Linked DNA regions of Oryzias latipes. The main gene of each other region encodes a partner of the protein of the gene in region 2 in a complex. Links are inferred from orthologs where the notes say so. Each region holds a gene or a part of one and is shown on either strand. Other genes may lie near its edges. The genes, in order: nup43, seh1l and nup37.

Region 1 (11,009 bases), on a different chromosome or scaffold from region 2:
TATAGATTAACAAACCACAGCAAAAGATTACATGAATGGAATCTTCCCCTCAGTTATTTAATTTTATTTAGGGATTTTTTTTTTAAATTCAAGCTTTCCTAAATAACCTGAAGAATTTCATAAATGTTCGTTTTCACACAAAAAAAATTTCAGTTTTACCGAGCAGAACCTAATAAGGTGAAACAGTGAGAAAAGTGTCTGAATAACAAAAGCTCCTCGCCGTTAACCGAAGGCGTTCTATGTATCCTCAGAAACAACAGAATGTTTCCTCTCTGTCCAGAACCGCACATCTCTGAGACCGTTGGGTTACACACAAATGTTTAACCAGCCAAATAGACACAAACACTTGTCATCAAACGAAGCAACCGTCACCACAGGAGTGCGTACCCGGGGCTTTCAGGGCTGAAGAGTTTGAACTGGAAGCAGTCATCTGATCTCTCATTGGGTCCTGGTAACTCGGCTTTAACATGTAGTCTGAGGCAACCCCCCCACGGCGTCCACTGGATGGCTTCAGAAGAGAACAACTGATTAATAAGCTTGAAATGTATACAGGAAAGAAAAAAATTCAAATGTTGTGAATTTTTGGAGTGTTAATCATCAACACGTCATCATTAGGCTTTCAGAACGCACAGATGAAGATGACAGACCTCCTCCTCCTCCTCCTCCACACCAACGCCCGCAAATCGTTAACTATGCAGCTTCCATGGTATTAACTGTACCAGCTTGTCAAATACCTGGCATTTCCTACATAACTCCTCTCTAAACAAAGTGCACCATGTGACCGTCCTCAGCCGCACAAGTATGTACAGAATGGAATCCAATTATCTAAGAAGACTAAACGCATTCCTCATACCTCCTCAAACCCAGATTGGTCCTGGGACTTGTTTCCATCAGCACCTGACGTGGTGGACTCCTCGTCCCCAGAACCGTTCACTTTATACGGAACAAGGGACTTGCGGATCTCCTGTAAAGCCTTCTGGTATTGGTTTTTGAGGTTCCCGCTGCGCCCCTGCTGCCGTGGATCTTCAGGGGCCATCTTTCCAGGTCCCCCGGTGTCCCCTTTCGGCTGATCCGAGGGCTTGGTCAGGTTCCGCAGGCTGTTGCGTATTTCCTGCAGCATCTGCTGGCTGTTGCCATTGTAGTTGCTGACGGGGAAGGTCTTAGGTCTCATCTGTCTGTAGCCCTCGGGCTTCTCCGCTCTCCTCATGTAGGATCATATACGATGACGATGGAGGATGAAGAGGGTAACAGCAGTGCAGGCTCTGGTCGGTCCTCACAGCAGCATGCTTCAGCTGGATGTGTTTTCAGCAGCGTGAGAACGACAAAGAATACATGTTATGCTACCAAACAGGTTAAGCCAATTCAATTCAATTCAATTCAATTCAAAGGGGCACTGAAAAACAGGGCCATGTTTCCGTCACAAACAGGAGCTAAGCTTAGATTTAATACGTTTATATCCCTACTTCCGGGTGACATTTAATGTATTTTACATGTTTATACTTAAAAGTTAACTGTCTTCTTTGTAACACCAAAACATGCTAGCTTGTTAGCTCTGTTAGCTAACAAACGCTACTTTGACGCTAATTCTACGTCAATTAACATTAAATATGTAAACATATCTTAAAAATAAAAATCTTTTTACCTTACTATAAACATAGTAGGTGTCGTTTGTGATTAAAACAATAAGCTGTATTCGTCAGACAAAGACAAACATTTCTTTACGGCCTGCTGTGTTTGCTAAAATTCAACAGCAGCTGAGGGTTAGCGGCTGCTCAGAGACCAGCAGAGAGAACCGGAACCTACCAGCGCGTGAAGCGGCCGCTTGTCTCCCTGTTTGAACGGCTCGATGTGTTTTTGGGTTAATTCCGCTGGACGCAGGTTAAATGGATAAATGTCTGAGCCGCGGTGACTGGTTCCTTGTCGCGTTGGATTCCCGGGATGTCTGAATGACAAGTAAACGCTGCCGTCAGAGTGCAGCGCTGCACTTCCGGTGGCCGCCGCTTTCAAAATAAAACTATCAAGGGTCAAGAAACAAACAGGGAATGAGATCAAAAACAACCCATTGCTTAAAAATTTATAAAAAGCAAACCAGAAATAAAACGATTACAAGAAAAAGATCTTTAAAAAAAATCGTTTCAAATTGTTTAAAATGACTAGTGCTTCATAATACTATGAATTTTCCTTAAGGTAGGCAGTATAATTTCATATGTTTGTCTTCATCTGTGAGTATTAGTCCTCAAAAGATGATTAAACAACAGTCAAGTAAAAAAAAAAAATAGAATTTCTGTGAGGAAGTATTACTTTAAGATGTTTAACACATTTAATTTGAAATCAAGACCATTTTTCCCTGTGTTCTTAGCAGCTGACTTGTTTGTTTTTTTTTTTTTTTTACACAGTGTAAATACAAATCTATCAAATAATCGTAAATATTGGAAAATAAAAAAACAAGACTGACAATAAAACAACTTTTTAGACTTATTTGAGCGTTTATTTGTAATTTAATAACCTTTTAAATCAAATCTGTACAAAACACAGTCAGAACACAACATGAGGACAGTAACATCTCTTTCCTCACAAAAGACACTTATTTTTTAAACTGGGACATGTCTGTTGACAAAAATGGCCTCTCCGTCGGTGCCGCAGACGAGACACTGTCCGATGATGTCCAGGCTGTTGACGGACATGGTCTGGCTGGGCAGCATGTGCGTCGTCTCCAGGCAGCCTTTGCCAGAATCTCCGCAGAGCCAGGCGCTGCTGAGGGGGCGGTTCCCGCCAGCGGGGGTCAGCGCGCCGTGGGAGATCACGCTGCTGTTCCTGCCACCTGTCAACAGTTCAAACAATCCAACGTTCACCCCCAACTGCAAATATTCTCAGAATTACCCCAAATTCTATCAAAAATGCAGAGTTTACACTCTAGGATTGAGATTATTGTCCCTGTATTTGTTTCAGCGTCATTGGCTTTAAACTCTAAACTTCTTTAAAATTTCATAACAAATCTTGTCTCATATTAACCCTTTCAAAAGACTGACTTTGTTTTTAGCCAAAACACACAAATCTCTGTTGTACAAATCAGGACTGATAAGCTGTAATTAGACTTTAGAGAACTTCTGAGCTGTCAACAAGATCGTTTTAGTTTGAAGTGAAGGGATGTTTGATGAACACAAAGCAGAGGAATGTGCAAAGTCATGACTGTGTCCTCAGAGTCAACAACCAGAGAGAGAAATGTCTAAATAATTCTCAGAGAGCTACAACGCTGAGGAGGAAGGAGGAAATAAAAATTAGCTAAATCTCTACTTGGAAAGTCAAAGACACCAGGGAGCGAAATCAGAAATTGTTGTCAAAATATTCGGAGCTCTGCACAGAAATGAATGGAGAGGACGCATTAAAAAAAAAAAAAAGGAGTCAGACTGAAGAGTCTATATGTTCAAGCTTAAAGTGAATGAAAAACATTTCCAGAAAAAAATTACATTCAAAAGTACACAATGTAACCTCGAGTCATCCCTCCTTTGAAGTGGAAATGACATTGTCATGACCTCTATCACACAACATCAATCATGTCATGGTAACCAATGGGCTCAAAGCCCCGCCCCCATATAACACTAGCCTGAATAAGTACAGGAAGGGTATCTGGTTTAAAACTCTGCCAAACCACCTTTGCGAAACAGTGACAGCTGTATTTCAGAGTTTCAATTTTAAAATCTGGTTTTCCAGTCAATTTGAGATGATCCTGATTTGACCCTGTGTGTTTTAAGTGACATAAAGAAAGAAGAATGCATAAAGATAAAAGCTTCAAATCTGATCCATGGCTTTCTCTTTTTAAAGTTCCAATTCCAATCATCTTTGGATCCATTGTAAAAGCCTTCCCTGTGGTCTTTTTATTATGATTATGCTGCTAAGAACTCTGAGCAGCGAGCTGGGTTTTTTTTTTCAAACTGCCTCCATCATCAGAAAAAAGAAAAGAACATGTTGGAAACACCAAAAAACAAAATTTTCATCGGAGTGCCTCTTCACTGATGACGACTTGCCTTGTAAGAATGAGGGCATCTCGGAATGCGAGGCAGTTTCCCAGTGCAGCAGCGAGCCGTCCTCCGAACACGTGAACAGGTGATCCGGGTTTGTGGGGTGGAAGCGAACCTCCCACACTGACGAGGAAATCCAAAGGAAAGTTAGTGAAACAGAACCAGAGATATGTTTAAAGTGAAATAAAGAAAGGATCTGACTTTCAGCCGAGTGTGCCTCCATGAGTGAGATGGGCGTGCCCCCCTGTCTCACGTCCCACACACAGAGCATGCCGTCCTGGCCCCCGGTGGCTACGATGTGCTGCTGGTTGGGATGTCTGTCAACGCAGTGCAGAGGAGCTCTGTCTCCTGACCTGGTGGAAAAAAAGACAAACAAGTAAAGGTGTGTTTCTGAAAGGATAAAGATACATAAAAAAATAATAAATACATCAAATTTCAGAGCTCTTACAGGGACAGAATCTGCGATGGGGAGCTGCTTTGCTGCCTGAGGTCCCACAGCTTCAGCTGGCCAATGGAGTTCACCGTCAAAACCTCCGTGGTCTTCAGGTAAGTCACCGCGTGAATTGTGCTGCTGTCTGCATTCTCTAACAAACACAACGGACAGTTTTAGACTCGACTCCTGATGAGGCGGTAACATCCGAGTCCTCATCTCACCGATGACCCGGACCGCTCCTTCCTGGTCGGCTCTGAAGACCACGATCCTGCCGTCCTCCCCGACAGTGACAATCTCCGGGCTGCTGCAGACCAAGGCGGTGCAGGGCGCGTTGTCACAAGGGTAGCTATGCGCCCTCGCCCAGTGCTGCAGAACTGAAATGGTCTGTTCAGGAAACAAAAAGGAAACCCGTTTTTAAACATGACATTTTGTTTTCTCCTCAAGAAAACCGAAAAGAAACAACGTACATGAGTGTTTGGATGATAGCGGAAAATAGTGACTGCTCCCGTTGATGACGCTGAGACCATCCGTTCCTGGTCCAAGAACTAAAACATGAAACAAAGAAAAACAAGAAAAATTACTTTATCCAAACAATGTACACATTTAAAATCATTTAAAATTAAAACCTATTGTAAAAACATTCCCAGTGTTTTTTTTATTATGATTATGCAGTTTTTAGCAAAAATCAAAAACCCTGTGTTGTTCCTTAAGACATAATTTCTGCAGAGCAACAGAAGCTCATTAGAAATTTGTTTCTGGGTTGTGGATGGGACTGTTAGCGTGAAAGTGACCCTACCATGATTTCCCAGCATTCCTTTGTTTACACGCTTTCCTGCTACCTAACAGCCGCTCACAACCCCAATCTAACATTAGCGTAGCACAAGAAAAAAAAACAACCTGCCGTACAGTTTAGATTTAGATTCCAGCTCAGACAAAGGAAAACAAAGACGGATGTGGATCTATTTGTCTGCGTGCGGAACAGGGAGACTTTGGCCCGCCAATGGCAGTTGCTGCATCGCAAACCGGGTCCTTATCCATTACAATTTAAATAAAAAAGTCCTCGTAAATGCAGTGCTAAGCTTAAATCCTTTTGTCCTCCATGATGAGAAAAATGCTACAAAAACATGTTAAAAACACACATATCTGAGTGAACCATCCAACATAATAAAGTGGGAAAATCCAGAAGAATTGAACAAAAATGTAATCAAATAGTTACACAAATTGATCAAACATTTGGGTGTGAGCTTCTGAAGGATCTTTATGACTTTATAACTGCTGACACTTATTTGACATGCTGAATAATTTTAATGACAGAAAAGGGAACATTTAAAATTTCGTTTTGGTTTTGTGCTCATTTCTATTTTTCATTTAGTTTGTTTATAGGCCTAAATAAAGAAATGGCTCCACAGATCAAACATCAACACCGATGATTCCGTCATTAGAAGCTTTTGGGTTTCTTACTTGCAGGTCCAGAACATCTCCGCCATGTTTGTGCTCACATAAAATTTGTGGGTCTCCTTCAAATCCGTCTTCTAATCCAGAATTGTTGTGATTTCCAATGGACCAGATAGACACCTTGTTGTCCTATAAATCAACGGGTTTCACATTAAACTCAGTGAACATTTAAATCACGACGACAAATGAATCAAAACAATTTTTTAAAGTGTATTTAAATAATTTAAATTAATAAAAAAAATTGAGTTAATTAGCAAGCGATCTTAATAATTTGTGTGGTTTTGCGCTAGTAGTAGTACTACTAGCTAACCTCGTTGTCCCACGAGCCCGTAGCAAAGACTTCTGGTTGTTGCAGTGAAGAATAGGAAACCGGACACCATCTCGTCTTACTGATTTTCTGAGACACATATTTGGCATTTATGCTCTCCATGGAAATTGAAGCCTTTTTGTTAAAATTTGAAGTGTTGTTTTCAGTTTACGGACTACACGAGAAACTACGCGCCTGCTGCTTCATACGTAACTACGGTGGCCCGAGAAGACCAGATCACAGTGTGCTATTCTTCTTTAAATTAATAGATAATCTGTTTCCCCCTAGCGGCCGACTTCTTTATTACCCAACAATTCCAATAAAGCAGAGACAGAGGAATTCCCTCTTTAAACTGACACTGGGCTCAGTACGTATCTAATTGGGTTTGTATTTTATTAAACTGTACGTGTTTTGTTAAAAGGGAGTGTATGTGAAAGGCGGCCCGGTAATAAAATCATTTGGATGTCTGGTGACGTATCCGCTCCGCCGTCTCCGCTCGAGGTTGCGAGCTTCATCGGGAAAACTGTTGGCGCAGGCGCGGCACTGACAGCTGCTGTCTACTTACTCCGCAAAGTCTGCTTAATAATGGCCTGGAAATCTGGAGGAGCCAGTCACGCAGAACTTGTCACCAACCTTCGCAGTGAGTCTTGTAGCGTTTTTAAGGTGGCATCGGCAAGCAATTCACCCGCGCGACGCTGGAAAACTGTTTTCGGGCGCGTGCTTGTTAGCGCAGGTGCGGTAGCTAGCTGGTTGCTTAAACTGTTAACCACTGTTGCCCCTAGTTTCTCCACCCCCTTTTTTTTTTTTTGCCAAACCACGTTACGCCGTGGGACACGCGCGCGCTTCTGTCATTTTAGATCAAAATAAAAGCACTAAACACCCAAATTACATAATATTTGCATTAAATATTTAGGGTGTATTGTGATGTTAGCCCGGCCAGCTAGCTATGTATGTGCGTCATGTAGGAGCATGTAGCTAGCGTTAGCAGCGGCGCTAGCTGTGTGCCCTGCCCACATCCATTGATGTCTGTCTGCACTGGCCACTGCGCTGTCATTTCACTGACGAGAACAGTTTAAACCGTAAAGCTCGACTCTGGAAACCACCCTTCTGTTGCACGAGACAGAAATTCACATTTGCTGTGTCACGATAGCAGCTAGCAACATCGAAAGAGCGACTTAGTGCCAAGTCCAACTCGGAATAAATGGTAATGTCATTTTGACACTTAGCCTTTTTGTTCATAATAAGCCTTTAAGCCAGTACATCAACTTATTTAATGCTAATATGTGAATTTAATACGATATTTGCAGACTTGAGTGTGCGTCAACATTCACTGTCAAGTATTTGCCAGCTCTATTTATACTCTCTGTGCTGTCAGGGGTATCATTGCTCGCTTTTTTGCCCATAGCTGCGTGTTTAGGAGGGCATCAGTCTCTATATCTGCTTATCTCAGTCCAGACATGTTTGCTTCCGACTAGCACACTTCATTTGGATTGAAGCAGACCACATGCAGAAGGCATGCTGATCAGTCTGCCACCTCTGGCTGAACCTTTCAACCCTGCAGGCTTTTGTTAAGGACCTTTTGTGGTTATATTGGCTTTATGCAAATAGGTACAGTTAAAAAAGTGATCATGTGGACTGTATATAATAATGCTCAAGAGTTTTATCATCTTATTTTGCTAATATTTTACATGTGCATTCTTAATATTTAAGTCTTCATTGTTCATTTTTTCTGCTTGGTGACAATAAAGCTTTTGATTGTATTCCAAACATAAGAAATCGAGCTCATGTATCTTCCTTAAAGGGTCATGAAAAATCAACTTTTTTTTAGCTTTTAAGTGTATTATAATGTTCATTCTTCACTGTAAACAACCTCAAAGCAGTATTTTGATCTGTTCTTACATTTCTGAGTATTCCTCTAAAAACGTCTTAGGTTTTCAGAGGAATACTCTGTGTGTGTGTGTGTGGGGGGGTGTGTGTGTGTGTGTGTGTGTGTGTTTGTGTTTGTGTTTGTGTGTTTATTCAGGAATACACACACACACTTTCTGCGTGGTGCCAGTGGTGATTGGTCAAAACACGTTCCTTTACTCTGCACAGTATGCACATCCATCCCTGTAAAGGTTTGGATGTTGTTTGTTTTCCTGGGAGACTCAGACACGCTGCCAAGGCCGGCTCTATGTTGAGGTCATGCAATGGGCGACACCCACACAGAGAGAAAGGCGGAGCCTCAGAGACCAAGTCGTCTTATTTCCGGGTTGGAAAATGAAGTGTGAAAATAACTCGTATTTCATAAAAAGATCATTCTTTAGTGTGCCAAAGGTAATATATTATCATATACATGGATATAGTTCATTGTGAAAGTATTGGAAAAGCATGAAATAGGCCCTTTAATCCACAAACTACAGTGTAAATGCAACCTGTTTAGATAAGTGTGACTGTTCTTTTGAGTGTTAACATTACAACATCTAAATTTTATGTCCATAATTCTGTCCCGCTGCAGTCCATGGTCTGCAAAGCCAATATTGTTTTTGCTATGCCGCTTTCTTACTGTGCCCTGTGTTAACATTTCACACCAAGCCTCTTTCAGCTGTGAGTACATGCACTAATATCGGGTAGCGACAGTCCAGTGTGAACACATGTGGCAATAGGGCGTTCAAGAAGGCCCGTTTAGCGCGTTCTTCAGGTCACATCACATGCCTGGTGTGTAGGTAGCATAAGGAATAAGGTTTATTTGGATACCAACCACTCCATGTTTGTCTGATTTAACTCAATGCGTTCATTCGTGTGTCTTTCTTGTTGCATATTCGTCTGCAGGACTGTGTGGTTCTCTTCTGCCTCACTTTTGACAAAAACTCTTCTGCATCCTCAGAAAATGGCATCATCAAATCCGACAGGGTGTACGAAGCCATGCTGGCCACAGACCGAGCACACTTCTCCAGGTGTAACCCCTACATGGACTCGCCTCAGTCCATAGGTAGGTGCATGGACGCCATAGTTTGTGCACTCTGGCCTGTTTTCTGAGTGATCAACGAGCCCATGTTTGCTTCTAACCAACAGGTTTTCAGGCCACCATCAGCGCCCCACACATGGTATGAAGGTCTCCACCTTCCAGAGGACTCTTTGAGAAAACCTGAACTCATCTGGACTCAATTATGTCTATATATACAATATTTCAATTCAATTCTTTCACATTTTCTTTCAAATTTCTTAAATACAAAACTGGTTTTACATACAGTATTTTAAAGCACACTTAAAAGCCTACTTTTTTTTTTTAAATCTACAGTGCATCTTATAATCTGGAGCATCTCATATATGATTAATTCTGGTTGGGTTTACTGATGTTGAAGCGATTTTTAGAAGTAGACGGTGCTCTGTCAAAATGTTTGGTTGGGTGTTGTTGTAACTACGCTCAAGCAGCTAATGTTTAGACTGTTTTTTTAGGTGTTACTAACAAGGTTGTGACGTCACAGAACGTTTGTTTTAGTGATATCCGTTGTGTTTTCTATGTGTTGCAAACAAGGTAGGTACCAAAACTGCCACTGAACACTTATTGCAGGCCAAACAGTTTTGGTACCTACACCGTCGAAGTCTGCCTGACTAGTTTTTTGACTCTTTTGTCTCGCTTAATGCGCCTATGAAATAAGTTTGAATCTAAACCATTCATTGAGGATGCACCTTAAAGTGCAGAAAATCGAAGTTGCATCTCTTTAAATAAAGCTCAGTTTGAATCAAACAGTTTATTTTTGAAACCCAGCCCTGGTTAATCTCTGGGCTTGACCGCCCTTTGTTGGTCGCAATGGCCAGATGTGATCATTCTTGTTGCTTTGACTCCGCCCAGCATGCCTACGCACTGGAACTCCTTCACGACCAGCTGTACGAGGGAGCCAAGGCCCTGGACGTCGGCTCCGGCAGCGGCATCCTGTCGGTCTGCTTCGCCCGAATGGTGAGCCTCAAACCAGAAACTTTCAGGAAACACGCCATCTGATCACTGCAGGGTCGGACACAAACGTCTCTGCCTTTCAGGTAGGACCCAAAGGGAAGGTCATAGGAATTGACCACATCAAAGAGCTGGTAGATGACTCCATAAACAACGTGAAGAAAGACGACTCCAGTTTAATAACGTCCGGACGAATCAAGCTGGTTGGTAAGGTTTCATCTCTAAAAATGTTTGTACTTTTTGGTCGTCTTTCCCCACCTTTGTGGTAAGAAGCAGCTAGCTGCTGCAAAACCTAAATCATTCAGCAGGGAGCGCCGCTTTCTGCCGCTCATCAGTTCAACACAGATGCAGGTTAAACGCTCTGCAGACTCTGAATGTGATCCCTTACTGAAAGGCTGGAAGTCACTGGATTTCATAAAATATATCCTGTTTTTAAAATTATTTTATTATATTTCAAAACCCTTTTCTATTATTTAAAAAACAACATTTATATGGAGAGACTCTGTTTTCAAATGACTGATCGATGTATGCTAATAATCAACAGCTGTAATACTGTTCTGAATGAACTCATCTGCAGCTACGGGAGGATTCTCCTGTTATTCTCCTTTTATAATCTGAGTAGAAAACAATCAAAGCTGGAAATTAACTTTTTGATTTCTGTTAAAGTGGATCCTTAAATGGAAACATAAGCACTTTTTTAAAGAGAAGACAGACTGGAAAAGTCAGTTGGAACAGACAAAATCAGCTTAATTTGGTCCAGATCTAGTCCTGGACTTTGCATTTTATCTGTATTTGGACATTGACAAAAGATCTCATCATTGGCCAGGCGTTATGAGGGCGGGGCAAAGCAAAAAGAGAGAG
Region 2 (10,744 bases):
AGATGCAGCAAAGCAGCCCCAGAACAGAACTGAGCCTCCTCCATGTTTCACAGTAGGGACAGTGTTCTTTTGGTTGGATGCTTCATTTTTGAGTCTACCAACATAGAGCTGATGTGCCTCACCAAAAAGCTCCAGTTTTGTCTCATCTGTCCAAAGGACATTTTCCCAGAAGCTTTGTGGCTTGTCAAAATGCATTTTTACAAATTCCAGTCTGGCTCTTTCATGATTTCCTTTAAACAGTGGTGTCCTCCTTGGTCGTCTCCCATGAAGTCCACTCTGGCTCAAACAACCATGAATGGTGCGATCTGACAATGATGTACCTTGATCTAGGAGTTCAACTTTAATGTCTTTAATTTTCAATAAATTTTAATTTGTTACTTTTGAACGTTTCAAGTCATTTCAGTGAGCATTGTGGACTTTCTTTCTTTAACTGAGGGGTACCAACAATGTTGTCCACCACTGTATGTCATTGAGAAGCTGGTAGGGAAAATCCAAAAACCATTTGAGTTGACTGAAGCCTGAAGCAGTTTTCTGCCTGACAACAGCCCTTCATCAAAGGAGGAAATTCCCTATGAAGCATTGGTGACAAAGCCTCATGCAGGTGGAGTGGACCAGGAGGATCATCCAGAAAAAAAGCCGCTTTCTCACGTGGACAAACGCTTCCACAGTCAGAAACTGAAGCTCAGAGGTCAACACGTCTGCAAAGTTCTTTATTCCAAGTTCATGACAGCCATTCTTCCTATTCTAAGAACAATCACAGCTCTTCTGCCTCTGCTAAGGACAGCAGTGCTCTGGAGGAGTGTCTGTGAGGAAGACTCTGCTGCTGCTGAGGCTGAGGAACCAGCTCAGCATCGCAGTGCTCTATGAGGGAGGAAGGTGGCAGCAGGTGACCAAACCTGCTGCCCGCTCTGGGAGCATCCAAAGGTGGAAAGAAATACCTGAAGCAAGAACGGACGGACAGGCAGAGGAAGGGAAACAGAGTCGAAAAATACAGACAGGGAAGAACAAAATGAGGAGTGCACAAGGGAGGACATGAAACAGGAAGTAGAATAAAAAATTAAACTGAGAAATGAAGTATGTCTGCAACAGAAACTAAACAGGAAGTAATGTCAGGTGGGCCGGAACGAGACTTTTATTCTTTAAAAAACCACCCTAATAAAACCAGTGTGAAGCATCAGACAACCTGTCAATCAGGGAATCAAACCTAGCTACTGTTCATGCATGTGGTTGTTGTGCACTAAAAGTAATGTCAGTGAACCCCAGACATTCCTTCTGTGGGCAAACAGCTATTCACCAGATCATTAGTAATATGCAGGAGTCTGGTCTATCTTTGAGGAGGTCAGCGGCCGCAGGGGAGGAGCAAACGGAGCTCTCCTGCCAATCCTGCATGCAACAAGCAACACAACAGCAAATTACCTTCAAGACGCTCTGCTCACACACACACACACACACACCCACACACACCACACACACACACACACACACACACACACACCCACACACACCACACACACACACACACACACACACACATCACTGGACACAAGGTGAGTCTGTGACAGAGAGGGCGCAGCACCCACAGCTGTTATTCTGGTTAAAGGCCAGGCAGGACGTCCGGCCGTTAGCCCAGGATTATTTACCCGAGCACAAATACAGCCACGCATCCAATCTGAAAAACCCCAGACCCCCCATTAATCCTTTGTGCATCTGCCACGCTTTTATTTGTGAGCATTCTGCTGAGGAGCATGAGCAGCTGCTGCCAGCAGAGCTGTGGATGGCAGGACGAGCCCTCAATCCCAACTTCCCCGGGACTTTTCACAAGAGACGGAAATGAAGGTGGTTTGAGATTTGTTGATCAGGAACTCCCTTGGTGTTGGGCTCAACATGTTCCATAACGAGAGCTTAGTTTCCACGGTGGAGGTGGCTGTATTTATCCTCACATTTCAGTGTTACGGGTTATTAAGGTTCATTCAAGCTTCTCCCCTCAGCAAGGAGTTTGGCTACAGCTGCACCAGGATGCTGAGACTCAACGCCGCGTCTCACAGCCGCTACGTACATTTTGCATGTTTTCCATGTATGACCTTTCGGTCTTTCATGATACATGCGTGATAATCCGAACTCATGTTTCTTGCGTTTGTTGTTCATCAATGTGCGCAGATGTCCGTCGAGGGTGTCGGCTGACGGGCCTTTACGTGAATTTGGTTTTAAGCTGTTCAAAATTTTCAGACAGTTCAGAGTTATGCAGTTTCTGCAATCGTGCAAGATTTTTGCGAAATGCGTTCGCGAATTTGTGTCCACATAATGGACTTTTCAAGCATTAGCAGTGATGTATTTTTATATCACGTTTTTTAATTGACGCACAAATCATTAAAAAATTACATATGAAAAGCACAATCATCACACCCTTGCGCTATCTTGTGGGGTCCAGATGACCCCACTCTTGTGGGGTCATCTGGACCCCACAAGATAGCACAAGGGTTAAATTGATTTTTGTGGTGTTTGCTTGGTCTTCACAAGAAACAACATTCCCCTGAAAAAAGTGGAGCACATTGCAAACTGACAGGAGTTTTATTTCGATTTTTACAGCTGAACACCCGTTAGTCCTTTCATACAACAGAGGGAACATTGGCCCTCTTATGCCATACAGCAATAAACAAAAAACAAAAAAAAACCCTCCCAGCACAGAAAGATGTCGACAGCCAAGCTCTTTACAGGAGGCGCGGTCGGTGTGAGTCCAAATGGCAGGTTCAGTTGTTTCAGTGGCAGCTCCGGGTCAGTGTGAGCCCACACGAAGCAGTCAGGCTTTAACGAGGGGGTGTGGCCGCAGATGCACCACGCCACCTACCTTCCTGCTGATATCCCATTCAGAGCATTCTGGGAGAGGAGGGAAGAGCCCACCATGGTGCTGATGGGCTGACCTGAAGACGCGCTCAGCGGGCTGCCGTCTCCCCTTAGGATGCCGGTGCACTTCCAGTTGTCCATGTAGTTTGCTGCAGAGCATTCATGCAGAGGACAGCTTAGGGAAGAACTGCGGACACCTTCAATACACCAAAAGCTGCATTCACCTCAAACACGATTCACACATGAAGGGCATCCAGTTCAATGCCAATATACAGTCCTGATCTGAGGTCCTACAGTGCCACATGAGCATCTGGAATGTTACATCGATCTGGCGGCAGCATAAATTTGGGTGTGATGAGGCATCAAAAATCTAAAGCGAAGAATTCACGCCATGTCAACCAATCAGGGGCTCAGCTTTGGCACATGACGTGTTAATGTCAGCAAGTGGAGCCTAAAACCAACATGGAGGAGAATCTCATCGGTCTCCTCCTGAACTTTATATTTTTCTTTTTACTTTTAAGACAATAACAGAAATGTCCTCTAGTTTGATTAATGCTGGACAGCAAGTGGTCAAACTGGGTCACAGAGAGGTGGAAGAACCGCTGAAAGCAGCAGGCATTCAGACGCAGCTCCTGCAGTAGACGGTGAAGCTCTACGTACTGGAGGAGTCTCTGAATGATCCGATAAACCCAGACATGGAGATGTGATTACTAGGGGTTGACGGAAAATTTATTTAGCGATACGTCGCGATATTTCATTTGGCGATATTTGTATCGATTCAAAATGCTGTCCAGGACGACATTTTTTTTACCGTACTTTCACGACCATAAAGTGGACTTAAAAGTCTCACATTTTCTCCAAACTATAGGGGCGCACTATGAGGCGGTGCGCCTAATGCGTAGCTGTGAGGCGTAGAAGAAGACGGGGAGGGAAGTAGGGGTTTGAACAATATTGTGTAGTGACCTAACTGGAGCTTCACTCTGTATGCGGTGGTAACGACTGAGCTGCCAATCTACTGGCTGCGTTGAGAAGCTGTACATACACTTCCCAACCCCAAACAATTCAAGTCGAGTCGAGGAGCGGTGAAATCCATGTTTACTTCAGCGTGGGCAGTACTGATCCGTTACAGTGATCCCTCGCTATAACACGGTTTACTTTTCACGGTTTCGCTACTTCACAGATTTGCATGGTTCATTGTGTTCTGCATTCTGATTGGCTAAAAAGTCACTCTGCTTCTTCTCTAACTGTGCGTCAATGACGTTGCAGTTTAATATGTACACGTACATAAAACAGCTTGCCAAATTTACATTATGTACGTGCAAATTCTCTTGCAATTTCGAGTTTCTCTAAAACCCATAGAAAAAAGAGAAACAACATCTTCCTATCACTATGTTCTTTCCCCCAAACAAACACAGCTGCACCGCGGGCTTCAAAAGAAGAAAACACTGCAGAGCGGAGTCAGGATGCAGCGGCTCAGTCTGCAGAGCAGTGAAATACACCTGAGTCACTATTTGTCCGACTGTACTTTGTATTTTATTCATAATCATTTTAAAATTTTCTCCCGTTTAATCCAATTACTTGGGTCATGGGGGTGGGGCTAATCTCCGCAATTTGAAGCCTTCTGTTCACATCGATGATTAAAATTATTATTTGACAGTACAGTACAGAAGTTATTTGTTGAAAAAAAAACGTTTCTAAAGTACTTTTATTTGTGAAACAAATGCTTGAGCCTGTAAAATGGTTTGTTATTTCTTTTCAATGTATAATAGACTATTTAATTATATAATAATTGTAAAAAAATTAAAGGTTTCTACTTCACAGATTTTGCCTATCACGGGTTCTTTTTGGAACGTAACCCCCGCGAAAAACAAGGGTTTACTGTACATTTCTTTTTCCTACCATGTTTTACCCCCATTAACATTAAAATAAATGTTAACATGCAGTACATTTTGTGAAACATTTAAGAGCTTATCATCATTTAATATTTAAAGACATACTCTGACCGTAAAATGCTTTTATGTATTTTGCGCACATGCGTTGACACATCAGGTAGCGAGAGTAGAGCTCTTCAAAATAAACTGACTTGATCTCTCAACTTCTGTGTCGTCCATGTATTGTAAACGACAAATACAGTCAATGCTTTCATGTAGAAGACGCATGAGGCAAATAAACATTAGCTCCTCCCACATGCGTCACAATTATGAACCTATTTTTGGACAGGTAGCCAGCAGCGAATCCGACATTTGTTCCAGTTGAAGCGGCCAACGCAAATTTGTGAGCGCAGCATTAGAGGTCCAACACTGAACCTCCAGAGGAGGCCATGTTTCTATTAATCATGTACCCATCTCAGGAAAATAAGAAAACGGTCGCTGCACTGCAGACGATTGCCGACAGACGGCAGCCGTCTGTGTTCCTGCTGAAGGTGGACCAGCTTCTTACCCTTCCATAACCGCACGCAGCCATCGTCCCCAGAGGAAGCCAGCAGGGTGCTTGTGATGTTCCAGCTCACACGCCACACCTGGGAGTTGTGATTGTCGAACTGCGCAACAATCTGCACCTCAAACTTGCTGGGTCCGGTGGATGAGCTCTCCTTCCTGTTCCAGAGAACCAAGACACATTTTCTGTTCATTTTCTTCCTCCTTTTATTTCAAAAGCTGTGTGCTTCGAGAAATGCACCAGAACACATGATGATGACAATCACCTCATGGGGGCAAGCTTGAATATTCTGACATCTTTTGTTGCAATAGCGAGAACATGGAAAGATCTCCCCAGGTTGGGAGCGAACGCGATGTCGTGGACTGCGTCGGTGACAGTCATCAGAGTCTCCACTTTGCCGTATTTCCTTTAGAAGAAACAGGAAGTGTCAGGAGGCCGCTGCATCTCTGGCCGCTGTGTGCTGAACACGCTCACCGTGTGTTTTCGTTGTACTCATAGATCTGAACCTTCCCACCGCTCGCGATGTTGCTGTCATCACTGCCCACGGCAAACATGGAAGGGTGAGCCCGTGAGCTGGGAGAGAATGATGAGATGAGATGATTCAGCAGAAATCCGCCGCTCCTGCCTTCACTCCGACCTGTCATCAGGCAGTGGCGCAGACGTGCTCTTCGTTTGTGTGTAATGCCATGTGGAAACTTAGAATGACACTCTGTGCCCAGCTTCACAGACACATGGAGCAGAACTGAACCTCCATCAAACTTATGGTCTGGTCAGCTCATCCAGAATATGAAAAAGCTATATAACCTGGAGGGGTTCCATGAAATGCAGCTGCAGCTGAGCTTGCATGAGATCTCGTGTTGCAGCGACCACTGGCTCAGGTTCATCACATCCGGAGCTTCGTAGATCCTCACCACGCCGTCCGCAGAGCAGGTGGTCAGCATCAGACCCATGTGTTTAGGAGCAAACTTCACATCGGTCACTGATGTCCTACTGTCCACAAGTGTGGTCCTCTTAATCTGGAATGGAGAAGCAAGAAACACTCACATGACCTCCACCTGCTGCAGGTTGTCGCTGCAACTGCCCGCTCCCAACCCAGCACTGACCCAGTGGCTCAAGCCTCTCTGCTTGTCGTTGGATTCTCCTACAATCTCCTCCCAAACCGCAGCGGTTCGGTCAAAGGAGCAGGAGGCCAAAACCTGCCCGAACTCTGGATGAGCCCAGGTCACTCTCCACACTGAGCCGCTGTGTGTCTGCAGAGAGAAACCAGGAGGAGGAGGCTCACATCTGTTCAGCACAGAAGGTGGAGTTCGGCGTGAGGATGGAGGCGTTTTACCTTCCAGCTGGCTGTGCAGAGCCACTCTCCACTCTCGCTTTTGTCCCAAACCTCAGAAAAACAAACAGAGCTCTGAATGTGACACATGGCCGCGCGGCAGCCCGGGAACGGTTCATCACAGTCGAGGACCGCGGGCGCGAGCTCAGAGGCTAACGTTAGCTTACCTTCACACTCTGGTCACTGGAGCAAGTCGCCATTCTCCGGCCGTGAAAGTCGTACGACACATCGTGAATTAGATCTTTGTGATCCGCCGCGATACTACGAGCCACAAACATGATCCCGGTAGCAGCGCGCCGCCAGCGATAGCTTCACCAGCGCGTTAGCAGGCCTACCGCAGAAATCATCCAGCTTTGAGACCTGCTTTTTTTGTTTAACTTTATTGTACAAAACGGAAGTACAATACAAAACACAATTTTACAAAATAAACTTCAGGTATGCCAGGGGAGCATTCATATTACATGCATTTTACATAAAAACATTCAGGTTTCTACAACTTTCATATAAACATACAGCTTTCTGATTAAGACTTTTGGAGATGTTACTGATATACATTTCAATTTGTTTGATTAACAAGGGGAAAAAATAGAAGATGAAGGAAATTTACGTTTATGAATATAAAATTTGCCAAAAATAATAATAAGATTAATTATGAGTTTTTTATTAGAGGCCAAGTTTTTATTATGAAAACCAAATATGATATATTCATACTTCAGAGTAAAGTTGGGGTGGATTTGTTTTTCAATAAATTGTAAACTTCTAATCTCAGTAAAATTCCAAAAAAGCGGTTAATTGTTTCTTTGCAATAAGGACAATTAGGATCAATTGTTTTAATGTATCTTATCATGAATTGATTGGTGGGGTAAATTCTGTGAATTATTTTAAGAGAAACTTCTTTCATTTTATTACTTATCATAAGTTTGTGGGTCACACTCCAGGCTTTCCTCCAAATACTTTCAGGAACAAAACGTCTTAAAGGAATTTAGGAACTTGTGAGGAATTTAGGCAGAAGTTGAGGCAGGTCCTGGGTGGTCAGGATGAGCTTCCAGAGGACTGGGAAACTACAGCAGAGATTATCAGGGAAACAGGTAGGAAGGTGCTAGGTGTGTCATCTGGAAAGAGGAAAGACGGTAAAGAGACTTGGTGGTGGAATGAGGAAGTACAGGAATGCGTCCAGAGGAAGAGGTTGGCTAAAAGGAAGTGGGATGTAGAAAGGACTGAGGAAGGTAGACAGGAGTACAAGGAAGCGCAGCGTAGAGTGAAGAGAGAGGTGGCAAAGGCCAAACAGAAATCTTACGATGAGCTATATGACAGGTTAGACACAAAGGAAGGAGAGAAGGACTTGTACAGGCTAGCCAGACAGAGAGACAGAGATGGGAAGGACGTGCAACAGATAAGGGTGATTAAGGACAGAGATGGAAAGGTGCTAACAACCCAAGAGAGTGTACAGAAAAGATGGAAGGAGTATTTTGAGGAGCTGATGAACGAGGAAAATGACAGGGAAAGAAGGGAGGAAGATGTGGTTGTTGTGGAGCAGGAAGTAGCAGAGATTGGAAAGGATGAGGTTAGGAAGGCTCTGAAAAGGATGAAGAGCGGAAAGGCCGTTGGTCCTGATGACGTACCTGTGGAGGTATGGAAGTGCCTAGGAGAGACAGCAGTGGAATTTCTAACAAGGTTGTTCAATAGGATTCTAGAGAGTGAGAAGATGCCTGAGGAATGGAGGAGAAGCGTTCTGGTCCCGATCTTTAAGAACAAGGGTGACATGCAGAACTGCAGCAACTATAGAGGAATAAAGTTGATGAGCCACACAATGAAGCTGTGGGAAAGAGTAGTGGAAGCCAGGCTTAGGAAGAAGGTGGAGATCTGTGAGCAGCAGTATGGTTTCATGCCCCGTAAGAGCACCACTGATGCCATTTTTGCTTTGAGAATGTTGATGGAAAAGTACAGAGAAGGTCAGAAGGAGCTGCATTGTGTGTTCGTAGATTTAGAGAAGGCGTATGACAGGGTGCCGAGGGAGGAGCTGTGGTACTGTATGAGGTCGTCTGGAGTGGCAGAGAAGTATGTCAGAGTAGTTCAGGACATGTATGAGAGAAGTATGACGGTGGTGAGATGTGCTGTAGGTCAGACAGAGGAGTTCAAGGTGGAGGTGGGACTACACCAAGGATCAGCTTTGAGTCCTTTTTTGTTTGCTATGCTGATGGACAGGCTGACAGACGAGGTAAGACAGGAATCTCCCTGGACAATGATGTTTGCGGATGACATTGTAATTTGCAGTGAGAGTAGAGAGCAGGTGGAGGAACAGCTAGAGAGGTGGAGGTTTGCTCTGGAAAGAAGAGGTATGAAGGTCAGTCGTAGTAAGACAGAATACATGTGTCTGAACGAGAGGGATCAAGGTAGAAGCGTTAGGTTACAGGGGACTGAGGTGAAGAAGGTGCAGGAGTTTAAGTACTTGGGGTCAACAGTTCAGTGTGATGGGGAGTGTGGAAAAGAGGTGAGGAGGCGAGTGCAGGCAGGTTGGAGCGGTTGGAGGAAAGTGTCAGGAGTGTTGTGTGACAGAAAAGTGCCAGCAAGACTCAAAGGAAAGGTGTACAAGACAGTGGTGAGACCAGCTCTGCTCTATGGGTTAGAGACGGTAGCAGTGAGACAGAGACAAGAGGCTGAGATGGAGGTAGCAGAGATGAAGATGTTGAGGTTCTCCTTAGGAGTGACCAGGTTAGACAGGATAAGGAACGAGTACATCAGAGGGACGGCTCATGTTGCCTGTGTTAGCGACAAAGTCAGAGAAGCCAGACTGAGATGGTTTGGACATGTTCAGAGGAGGGATAGTGGATATATTGGTAGAAGGATGTTGGAGATGGAGCTGCCTGGCCGGAGGGCAAGAGGACGACCAAAGAGGAGATATTTGGATGTCTTAACAGAGGACATGAAGTTGGCTAATGTTAGGGTAGAAGATGTCCATGATAGAGTGAGGTGGAAAAGGATGATTCGCTGTGGCGACCCCTGATGGGAAAAGCCGAAAGAGAAAGAAGAAGACTTTCAGGAACAAAACGTCTCCAGTAGGTTTTAGAACATAGTACAGAAATGACATCCCTTTGAAACAGCGCCGCTCGAGTGACGCCAGCGAAGCTGAGGGGAATCACCACTGGGGAGCGCTCCAAGCATGGAAGCATCAGTTGCATAATTAAAAATAAGTCAAAAGCCTACGTGCACGATAGAACTTCCGGTTAACTACCGCGTTTTGAGTGTAAGGCCGACAACTTCCTGTTGGTCGTGTTATTGTTGTGGGGAGTTTTGTTGAGTTGCTAGTTTTCAGTAAATATGAGCGGATTTCGGGTGAAAGAGAGGCATTTGGTGTTTCAACGCGTGACAAAGACATCACAACATTGTTGTGTACCCCTGTGTGCGAATTCGTCAAAGTACAACAGTACTATAAGCTTTCATAACTTTCCAGTAGATGTGTCAGTGAGAGCCGAATGGATGGTAAGAGTACGGCGGGAGGACTTCACCCCAAGCAAGACGAGTCGTGTTTGCAGCAGGCATTTCCAAAAGGGCGATTTTGTTAACAACCCCGGGAAATTGAGAAAGTTGAAGAAAGGCAGAAATGCTTTTTTCATTTTCAAAACGTTTTCTTGTTCTTCTTCAACACTACTCATTCTGTCACTTAATTAAAATTATAAAGAAAATGGTCCGCTCAGCAGGTGCACCAATCAGTGGGACAGAGTGGGTGAAGGGGGAGCTGGGAATACCAGGTGCTGTAATGTTTCCCGCTTTTACTCACAGCCACCAAAAAGAAAGAAAATCACACACACAGCTTTGGGTTGCATAATTGTTTTTTTTTATTTTTGTCATTTATTTTTTCTGTGTGTCTGTCTTTTTTTGTCCAAAACCTCGGTTAACACCCAATGCTGCAACTCCAACCTCTGCAACACTCAATCTGTTCGGGGTTACAAACATTCTGTACATTGGAACCAAGTAGATTTTCATAAATTCAATTACTGTCAGTTTAATATATTTTTACATTAATACAAAATATAAGTGAAGTTGATAAACTCTTGACCAAGATATATATGTATACATGTATTTATATATATATATAAACTTAAAGCATATATTTTCTTCTTCCAAAGTAAAAAAAAG
Region 3 (10,215 bases), on a different chromosome or scaffold from region 2:
AACCATGCCACTTTTAGGGCGAAGCTACTGTCGTCACGCGATGCAACCCATTGATTGGCGGAAGGTCATTACGACAAAAGAAAGCGCAGACGTTTCCAAGCATTTCATTTTTTGTCTTTCAGCCGAGGTGCATCAGGAAAAGATGGCTGCCACAGACGGTACGGTCAGCACTGGAACTACAAACGTTCATCGCCATCCTTGGGGACAGCCTGACTCAGAGCGAGCTGGCTGGATCGCCATGCTGGATGACCTCCATTGTTGCTGCACAACTGTCATGCAATGCTACGCCATCGTTCTACACCCCAGATGCGCCATGAAGGTCCAACTTTAAGAGGAAACGCTCACCTGGCCTGGATCAATTTAAACTGTACCACACCACTCAGTGGAAACGAGTCTTATATCACCCTCAACATACCCGGACAACCCGGAAACCTGCAGCGTCCATCCGGGTCAATCCCCCGTACGAGTGCATATGATGTAGTTTTGTTGTGTGCTGTAAATGGGCGCTCAAAAAAATATCTATCAGTATCTCACGTGCTATATCAAACGGAAATTTAAAAATTGATATTTTATTTTTTTAACGAAAACCCCAAATTTGAGCGAATTTGATCAAATTCGTGGTGCTCCCAGCTCTTGAACACATCCAGCAAACGCCAGGTTTCTCCTGACGGCACAAACCTAAACTCTGGGTTCCTTTCTGCTGCCAGAGTGAGGCCTCAGACACAAGTGAGGCTGGGAAGTAAAGCCTCAGACCACATCGGGAAAACAAGGACTGGACCCTTTTCTTTCAGACCACTATCCAAGCAAAGCTCAGTTGCAAGCTACACCACCAACGGCCAAACTGTGGTCAACCACTTTGTCCTGAAGAGGAGAGCACTGGCTCCCCAAAAACAGCACAACCTCTGCAGGAGGAGGTAAAAAAAGAAAAGAAAAGAAAAGAAGACAGAAACGCCATGAGTGCAGGGATTATGGAGCAGCAACCCTCTGCTTCCAGGTACAACAGAGTTGAAAAGGACATCTGAAATTCTGTATTGTGTTATCAAATTGGGAAAAACAGCAAGAGCAGAGCTTTTCTCAGGCTTTCCCATAAGAGGAGGAAAAAGAAAACCGCCGTTAGAGCTGCGTGATTTGATCTCTTTTGTAGAGAACTGAGTAAATAATCCAAGGTGGATCTCAGGGGGGAGAAAGCTGGAAGAGGAAAAGCATATTAAACCCCTCCCAGTGCCTTGGACGGTCAGAACGGTTGGTGAACAACCATCAGGATTGATGAGGATTTTGCTTAGCTTCAAAATAGTACATTAAAAATGCACTTTGCTCTAAATCTGAGTAACATTTTTTGCCTTCAAATGTACATTTGTGTTGGTTTTTAAACATTTGTTTCTACAGCTAACTCATAAATCTACTTCACTTTTACAGCTTTTATCCGTTTCTGGTATCTGATAGAGAGAAACCAATTGTTTTGTTGACAAAAATAAAGCATCATATTATTCTTGAGTTGAAAGAAATCATCTAGAACAGTGTTTTTCAACCAGTGTGCCGCGGCACACTAGTGTGCCGTGGAAGATGGTCAAGTGTGCCGTGGAAAATTGCCCTCATTAACTGATCTAAAAACATTAACCATCTCAAGCAAATCAGCTTTTTGTTCATCCAAACAGGTCCTGATAAAACACTGAGTGGTTAGGAATATAAAAGATCATAAAATACTTTTTTCTTTGTGTTTAATTGATTCTATTAAAGACATTTTGATAAGAATGACGGCACCGCGATTTACCTGCAGCTATAACCGTTTTCTGAAAAGTCCCGCCCCTTTAACTGTCTCTGCCAATCATTCTTGAAGGCTTAATCACATGTCATCAGTCTGACCAATCAGAAGTGTTAAAAGTCTTCAATTCCTTGTTCCAATTTAGCTCATAACTCACTCATTTCCCACAAAAACACCAGCTAAAGCTCGTCATTAGCGGTGTAGCTTTCCACAGAATCCGGTATCAGACCGTGGAACAAGTGAACAAAACCATGAAGCTCAGAGACGCAAGTCTTTCTGCCGTTTTCTCGCCGTGTTCACACTACATCTCCCATGATGCATTGGCTCAAAGGGACAACGCCTCAGCGTACAATGAGTCGTCCTTGTTACACGGATTGAAACCACAACGAACATACAGTTTGTATGTAACTTAACTTTTATTACATCTTTTAGAAAAAAAACATCTGCAACTTCCTGCTTTTTCTGCCACAATTATCACAAAAATGCACGTCAGATTGCCGGGGGGGGGGGCGCTGTAGATCAAAACAGACTATGAGTTTCTGCTTTTTTTTTTTTTTTTGGGATGCTGGTGTGCCGCGGGATTTTTGTCTAGGTTAAAAAAAAAAAAGGTTGAAAAACACTGATCTAGAACCACTAGATTATAATAGCGCCCAACAAATAAATCCCAAATTACTTCGCTTACAGTGGTATGAGAAAGTTTGGGCACCCCTGATAATTTTCTAAATGTTTCTTCATAAATCATTGGTTGTTTGGATCATCAATTTCAGTTAAATATATCATAGAGCTGATGAACACAGATATTTGAGAAGTGAAATGAAGTTTAATTGGATTTAAAGAAACTGTGCCATAATTACTTAAACAAAAATAGGCAGGTGCGTAAATTTGGGCAGCCCAACAGAAACATTCCATCAATACTTAGTAGATCCTCCTTTTGCAGAAATGACAGCCTCCAATCGCTTCCAATAAGGGCCTGGATTCTAGTTGAAGGTATTTTGGACCATACCTCTTTGCAAAACATCTCCAGTTCAGTCAGATTTGATGGCTTCCAGGCATGGACAGCCCGCTTTAAATCTCACCAAAGATTTTCAATATTCAGGTCTGGGGACTGAGATGGCCGTTCCAGAACATTGTACTTGTTCCTCTGCATGAATGCCTTTGTAGAATCAGAGCAATGTTTAGGGTCATTGTCTTGTTGAAGTATCCAGCCCCAGCGCAACTTCAACTTTGTCACCGATTCTTGAACATTGTTTGTAAGAATATACGAAAAGAAAATACTAAGCCAATTGAGATGGCTGTTGTTGTGAATTTGGGCTATACAAGTAAAATTGAATTGAAGAATCTGCTGATACTGACTGAAATCCATGCCACCTTCAACTTTGACAAGATTTCCAGTACCTGCACTGGTCACATAGCCCCAAAGCATGATGGAACCGCCACCAACATTTAGCGTCTCCGTTTGTGGTATGCACGCAGAAAAGGCTTCTTCCGCATTACTCTCCCATACAGCATCTCCTTGTGCAAAGTGATGGTTGAACGATGCACAGTGACACTGCCGCCCACGTAACGACTTAGTGCTGGGTATCCCTCTGCCAGTGGGGTGAGATAAAACCAATGTTATGTATTTTCCGAGCACTGATAGCAATCCCTAGCATAGATGACCGGCGACTATTGATGACATCATCAATTTTAACGTAAATTTTAGCGCAGAGAAGCAATTTAAAGTCCCACTCCAAATATATTTTATCTATTTTCACCAGTGGAATTGAAGTTGTCTGCTACCCTGAGTGTAAGAAAAAACACAGATAGCTCCAAATACTCTCAGATCCCTGCAGTGGACCCCCTTGATCTATTGGCAGCACATTTTCTCCCCACCAGCTCCAAACTGCTCAAACCATAGAAACCCGTAGAGCTGTTTAGACTACAAGAAGCCGAGGAAGTGGAGTCTGCTTCCTCGCCTCAGTTCTGCAGCGTCAGGTTGCGTGTTGGCAGCAGCAGAGGTCCCACAACTGCAGGGGACAGAAATGACCAAACTAAGTAAACCGGTGGAGAAGGAGGCCCCTGCCAAAGGCAACAGAGTGACGGCGAGGTCATGAGCCTACACCAGCGGACATAGGGCTCCCTCCCTTTCTGCAGGACCACTTCCTGTGTCTCCTATACAGGCTCAGCTTGTGTGGGCTGACTGGATGGTCCTCTCCCCGTTAACTTGATCCATCCCTCCGTCTTCCCCCCGTGTCCCATATTTTCTCAACATGACAGAATTTAAATCTTTCAGCAGATGGAGCCCTCTCCTGTTTTCTCTGGCTGGGGACTGGGGAGAGGAGAGACTTGTTCGACTTTGCATCAGGTCGTTTGTTTCAGTCGTGAAGTTAAAAACATTGGATCGAATGGAGACAGACTTGTAGAAAAAGCCCCTAGTGGTGACTTAGTGAACTGACCTTTTATTTTAATAAAAAAGGCCTAAATCCAGGCTTCGAAGGCCGTCCTACTGCTGGTTTTCCAGAAAACTTGCCTTATCTGCTGGATCAGGTGTCTTTAACCAATAAGAAGCTGCAATGGCAGGTTGGTTGGAAAACATGTAGGACACCGGCCCTCAAGGTCTGGAATTGGACACCACTTGCATAATTCTATCCATCTGCCATTCCTGTGGAGGTTGCTGGGGCCTATCCCAGCTACTTCACGATAAAGGCCGCTACACCCTGATGAAATTTACACTTCAAGGAGAATTCATATAGGAACCAATTTAAGTGTGAAGCACGTCTCTGGACGTCTCCAGCCGGAGTCGAACTAACATCCAAAAGAGGTAACCAGGACACCAAAGGGCTCCCCATGCCTCACTTTCGCAAAGATTCTTTGAAAAATCACACTTTTGAAAAGTAAACTCTAGCGCAAAAGTATAGTTTAGAAAAATTCACGCTAGTTTTTAGCATTTCTTTTTACTTAAACAAAATGTTAGCTTCGGATTTTCCTCCACTGGTCGTTTCGGTCAGCTACAGTTTTCACAAAAAAGCTTTTAAAGACCCACTCTGATGAAAATTTAGTTTTTGATGTTTCTAACTTGTTCTTGTCGCATTTTCCTTATGTTAGAGGAAGAAAATCAAGCTCAGGAATGCATTTCAGAGTATTTTTTTATTCGAATTGTTGTGAATCAGCAGAAGATGAAAAAAATCCCATTTAAAAAAAGATGATAGAAGAAATTATGCTGGGCGGGCCAAAAGCTCCCTGCTACGCTCCATTCTAGCAGAGCTAGTGGAATTAACTTTCGCCACTGCAGAAACTATGTCCTAGAAAAAGACACAGGCTTTTAGATTGAGGCTAAAAACTGCATAATCATTATTAAAAGACCACAAGGAGCGTTTCACAATAGATCACTTCTAGAGCTGTGACGGTGTGGGATTTTTGATCACCAGTGATGAACCAGCAGGGGGCGCAGTGTCGCAACAAAAAACCCCACAACATGATCAAAGTGGGTCTTACTAAGCAGAACAAGCCAGGAAAGGAGGCGGTCATGAGCGCCAGAAAAGTAACTTCTTCAGTCTTCAGTTTAACCACAAACCCCACCTGGAGCACCTGTTTTCCTTTACAGGTGGTTGTTCTTTTAAAGCTATGTTAACATCGGCCTCCACAACGCACGTTTAAGCGAACACTTTCAATGAAAAGTCTATGTAAATGCTTGTACAGTTTTGGGCTTTCTGACTGTAAAAAGTCTTGGATTTATCGGAATAGCGCTGTGAAAGAAAAAAACCTGGAGCAAAATTTTCAAGATTAGTAACTATTCCACATTTCACACCAAGCCGTTTCTAAGTGTAGATAGATGTGCTAGTATCGACAGTCCAGTGTGAACACTATACATGCTATAATCACGTTTTTTTAAACATACCTGGCGTGAACGTAGCATAACATCTCAGCAGCTTCTGGTGCCTTCAACTACAGCTCATTGAGAAATGATGCAAGCTCACAAAAAATAAAAAACATAATGCTGACGTCTAAGAAAATTTAACAGAGATGGGAATTTACGCATCAATATGCAGAAGTTTTTTTTAAGACTTCAGGACTTTAGAAGATCACCCATTATCCAGAAATGTGACCAATCAGCCAAAAAGATCTCAAACTAAAAACAACGAAGGCTCATCCAGGAGGTCATAAAACAAGCTAAGGAGCTAAGGAAGGAAAAAAAGGTAGGCTTCACCTGATTCAGTTCAAGTCTGAGGTCCTGACTTTGGACAAAAAATATGATTCGCATGAAAATTTGAGGAGAAAGACTGAACAAAGGACTCATCTCATATTTGACAAAAATGTGGAATTTTCCCAAATATTCTGTGGACTGAAGAAACCAAGGAAGAACTTTCTAGAAGGTGTGTATCTCATTATATCTTGGGGTCATACTGACATGGAATGGATGACTTTCAGTAATTCATAAAACCATAAATTCTCCTTTCTGGCAGGAAAATGTCATTCACTTCAAGCTCAAGAGCTTTTGGCTTTTTCTGGCAGGACGGTGATTCAAATGCACTGGCAGGTCCTGAATGGATCAAATGCAGGTTTTGAAAAGGAGTCTGGCCTCAAAGCTGATAGTTTTATGGCTTTCGAAGACATTCTGGTAGAAATGTCTCTAAATTTAAACTCATCTGTGAATAACGGTCAAGAAAAAGGTCCACAGGTGTGGGAAAATCTCACAATCATTAGATGAGTGCACCACCATCTTTTGGTAACGAAACAATAATTGATTCTATAAAAGTTTGCAAAATACAAACATTACTATTTTGGAAACAAGAACTAAAAGAAATTAAAAACTGTAGTTTTCTGGGACACAGGCTATGTCCAAATTCCCTCCCTATTCCTTTAAACGGCAAATATGACATCACCAATTTCAAGAAGTGAAAATCTAATCAAAATATGACCATTTTATGAAGACTATTTATGAATCCACTGCGTTCCGATGATGAAAACTTTGATGGTTAAAAAAATGCATTTAAATGCAATTTTTCACAAAATTTGTTCAAACGCAATGTGGTCTACATTAGCCAATCTAGTGAACATTCTTTCCCACTAGCTCACAACCCCAAGCTAACATTACTGGTGCAACAGAAATGAAAGGTAATCCAGTAGCTTTGACCCAGATTCCAGCTCGGATGAGGAAAACAAAGACGTACATGGATGTATTTGTCGGCAAGTGGATAAATCAGAATGGAGCGGAGCGGGAAGCTTGTGGCTTGCCAATTGTAGCTTTTACGTTAATGTGAACGTTTTCTTTATTTCTACTTTTTTTTTTAATGTATGTATTTTTTATATTCGTAATAAACTTGTTTCCATTCCTTTCCATACGTACATAACGCCTACGACCTTTTACAAACTGCATTTTTTTAATCTGCTCCTAAATCACAACAGCTTGAATAAAGATGCAATTTCTACGCTTAATTTTCTTCAACTATGGCTTCCATAACGAGAAAAATGCTACAGGGTTGTATAAAAACATATTTTTCATCGGAGTGGGTCTTTAACGGCTACAGATCTCTTGTACAGTACACAGGGGCTGTCCCTGCACTGACCCTGGCAACTAACACACTTTTTCCCTCTGTGCGCCTTAATTGAAAAGGAAAATTTGGGAACCTTGTTAAAGGCCCCCCCCTAAGAGAGGAAAATATTTCTGCAGCTAATTGGATTTCCATATTTAACCAATTAGGTAGAAAAGCTACAAAGCAGCTCTATGCTTACGCACGGTCACATCGGAGCATGTTGTGCTTAGCATCAAGTTTCACCGTGGAAACGCTGTCAGGACTTTCTGCACCATTAACAGAGAACAGAACTGAAAATCAGGAGCACACACACACAGAATCTGGACCTGCAAGTGTGGTCGTCACTGACGGAAGCGATTCGTTTCCCCTCTGTAGGCTCAAACACCAAATGGTTAATGTAGCTGGTGTGGCCCTCCATCACCTCGGCAACGATATGGAAAAAAGAAAAGAAAAAGACACTTTAATGGAAAACAGAGAACGCACCACCAGTGAAATGTGGAGCACCTCCTGTAACCTCCCCAGTATCAAACGTCAGTGCAGGGAGAAAGTTTGATGCCAAATGAAAAGTTCTGGCCAATGTGCTCCAGATGTTGCATTACCTCGACTTCATGCCTATCCTGGAGATCAGAAGTCAGCAGGCGCAGTTTTCTGTCAGCTGCCGCCGTGCACAATCTGCAGATGAGGAAAACAAAGTTGGGTTTTAACAATAAATAAGGAGGGAAAGCAAAAGGTGTGCTTTTTCAACGTTCTACAGGCAGGCCGGGGCTGACACCTCTGGAGGAATGTGTGTGGCAGGAACCTGGAGCCTGATCAGTAGAAACTCTGCCAGGGAGATTCTAATTGCAAGCAAAGATAAACACGAAGAATGACGAGATTGCTCACGCCATTTATGCACATTCGCATAAAAACCTGCGCGGAGCCAGGCAGATGACTTTCCCTCTAATCAGCCCGCGCGTAGACCAGCGCCTGCAATCATTCACACAATTACACTACCTCACTTATGACAAGAAAAACACATACATATGACCAGAATAAACAGAAAGCGGTTCGCACATTTTCCGTCGCAGGCGCACATGGATTTGGCATGATGTCATTACAAACACTCTAAACACACTTCAGGGTTTTACCGCCTCAGGAGGGGAGATTTCTTCTGGAAAGAACCTCCAACCCGAAAAACAAGTGTTTGCTGTGGAGCACGGATCGCATGCAGCCCTCTTCACAAAACCTACTTCCAAGACAAATGTCTTTGAAATGTCGATTCAGCGCCCTTTTAGCATCACTCTGATGGGCTTTTTCTCAACAGTATCGGAGAATGGGAACTTTGTGAGACCATCGCTTTAACTGCAAAATCTAAAACACAAATATTATCCCAGGAGTTAAGTGACACTGAAAAAGAGGGCTTCTCTTTCACACAGGAAGGCAGACTTTGCTTGATTTTCATGATTCTCTTGGTGTATTTTAGCTCAGGTCTTCAAATTTGACACTGATTTAAGGTTTTGTTTTTATAAGGTGTTACCTTCAAAACAAAACATAACGTAAGCACGGAAAGGGGGAATGTTTGATAGATTATTTTACAGCAGAAATAAAGCTTAGTGTGAATAAATTTCATTTTGTTTATTTTGTGTTTTAATTGTGCAAAAGCTATTTGAAGGACGAGAAGCAAAGCTGAGGTCGGAGGTTGAACCTGAAAACTTTTACCTGTTCTGTTGTTGAGTGGATTGATTTTGAGACAGAGAGAGACAGACATCTTCTTTGCCTAGTTGACCCCGCGACCCCATCCCAGAAGAGCAGAAGAAAATGGACGGATGGATGCTGGACTGTGTGGGACTACCGATTGCTTTTTCTTGGTTAAGCATTGTAATTTTGTGGACCTCAATGATGGTGTTCAGGTGTGAAGTTGCTGAAGTTGCTTTTGATGTAAATGTTTCTCTGTGTTATGTATTATTTACCAAAATACATTGCTCTTCGCTTTTGAACACTTTTAACAAACAATATCTTGAAATTGACAGACTTTGTAGGCGGAAAAGGATAATGCGAGTCTGCTGGAAATGTCTGTTGGGTCTTCAACTCCCACCAAAGGGAGAGCATGTCAACCACCTTCATTGTCAACCCAGAAGTTCAAATCTGTGGCTGTAAAGTTCATACAACCCACTAACCTTTTGGTGGTTGCTGGAAGTAATGGATGCTGCCAAGCAGAAGAGTGGCCCATCAAGTCTGGCCGCCTTGTAGGACCTCAAGGCAACTGACGGGCAGTTCATGTGGCATGCAATGCAGGTAGTTGAGGCAACAACTTTGGTCTGGGAGCAGTTCAGGGAGGCCATAGAAAAGGACAATCAGTCGACCTTAAAGAAATTCTGGCAAACTATTTGGTGCCTCAGGAGGAAAAGAAGGCAGTTCTATGCCAGTACTGTTTACAATGCAGGTGGTGAGCCGTTGAATTTGACTAAAGACATTGTCAAGAGGTGGAAGTAACACTATGACGATCTCTTGAATCTCCCCGACATGCCTTTCAATGAAGAAGCTTCAGTCAAAAAGCTTTTCAGTGGGAAGGCACCATGAGTGGATGAGGTCCATCCTGAGTACCTCAAGTATCTGGACGTTGTGGTGCATGTTGTGTGACAAATCCTTGTGAAAACTTGCAAATCAGCAGGGGGTCACTTTTTAAGAGGAGCGACTGGAGGGTGTGCTCCACCACAAGGGGATCCCATTACTCGTTCTTCATTGGAAAGTCTATTCTTGAGCACTGGAGAATTCTACCAACAGCTGAACCTCTGATTCAGGAGGACTATGGTTGTGGAACACTCCATCAGCTCAACACCTTAAATAAAGGGCTTGAGGATTCATGACTGTTCACCCATTCAATCCACTTGTCCCACTGAAATTAACAGAATTATTTAAACAACAAAATAATGAAATAGGGCTGGACTAAAATGATGGTAC

The links.
Region 1: seh1l (region 2) and nup43 share a complex: the UniProt entries of both Homo sapiens proteins name them as parts of the nup107-160 subcomplex of the nuclear pore complex. The link is inferred for Oryzias latipes from reciprocal best matches to the Homo sapiens genes SEH1L and NUP43.
Region 3: seh1l (region 2) and nup37 share a complex: the UniProt entries of both Homo sapiens proteins name them as parts of the nup107-160 subcomplex of the nuclear pore complex. The link is inferred for Oryzias latipes from reciprocal best matches to the Homo sapiens genes SEH1L and NUP37.

Annotation. Positions count from the first base shown.
Region 1 is NC_019882.2:17,706,917-17,717,925, reverse strand, and holds nup43 (nucleoporin Nup43), read right to left. Parts: upstream 6,456-11,009; 5' UTR 6,338-6,455; coding exon 6,218-6,337; intron 6,037-6,217; coding exon 5,914-6,036; intron 4,998-5,913; coding exon 4,920-4,997; intron 4,837-4,919; coding exon 4,674-4,836; intron 4,604-4,673; coding exon 4,468-4,603; intron 4,373-4,467; coding exon 4,221-4,372; intron 4,143-4,220; coding exon 4,026-4,142; intron 2,822-4,025; coding exon 2,592-2,821; 3' UTR 2,463-2,591; downstream 1-2,462. Other genes in the region: serine/threonine-protein kinase LATS1, read right to left, coding at 388-508, 854-1,207; pcmt1 (protein-L-isoaspartate(D-aspartate) O-methyltransferase), read left to right, coding at 6,677-6,854, 9,081-9,185, 9,269-9,300, 10,050-10,154, 10,235-10,355. UniProt on the Homo sapiens protein: Component of the Nup107-160 subcomplex of the nuclear pore complex (NPC). The Nup107-160 subcomplex is required for the assembly of a functional NPC.
Region 2 is NC_019874.2:7,221,705-7,232,448, reverse strand, and holds seh1l (nucleoporin SEH1), read right to left. Parts: upstream 7,000-10,744; 5' UTR 6,886-6,999; coding exon 6,775-6,885; intron 6,662-6,774; coding exon 6,611-6,661; intron 6,528-6,610; coding exon 6,381-6,527; intron 6,294-6,380; coding exon 6,082-6,293; intron 5,851-6,081; coding exon 5,752-5,850; intron 5,684-5,751; coding exon 5,543-5,683; intron 5,436-5,542; coding exon 5,281-5,435; intron 2,991-5,280; coding exon 2,846-2,990; intron 1,384-2,845; coding exon of another isoform or gene 1,302-1,383; exon of another isoform or gene 945-1,301; intron 939-944; coding exon 755-938; 3' UTR 690-754; downstream 1-689. UniProt on the Homo sapiens protein: Component of the Nup107-160 subcomplex of the nuclear pore complex (NPC). The Nup107-160 subcomplex is required for the assembly of a functional NPC.
Region 3 is NC_019881.2:20,084,542-20,094,756, reverse strand, and holds part of nup37 (nucleoporin Nup37), read right to left. Parts: intron 7,948-10,215; coding exon 7,875-7,947; intron 7,697-7,874; coding exon 7,602-7,696; intron 1-7,601. UniProt on the Homo sapiens protein: Component of the Nup107-160 subcomplex of the nuclear pore complex (NPC). The Nup107-160 subcomplex is required for the assembly of a functional NPC.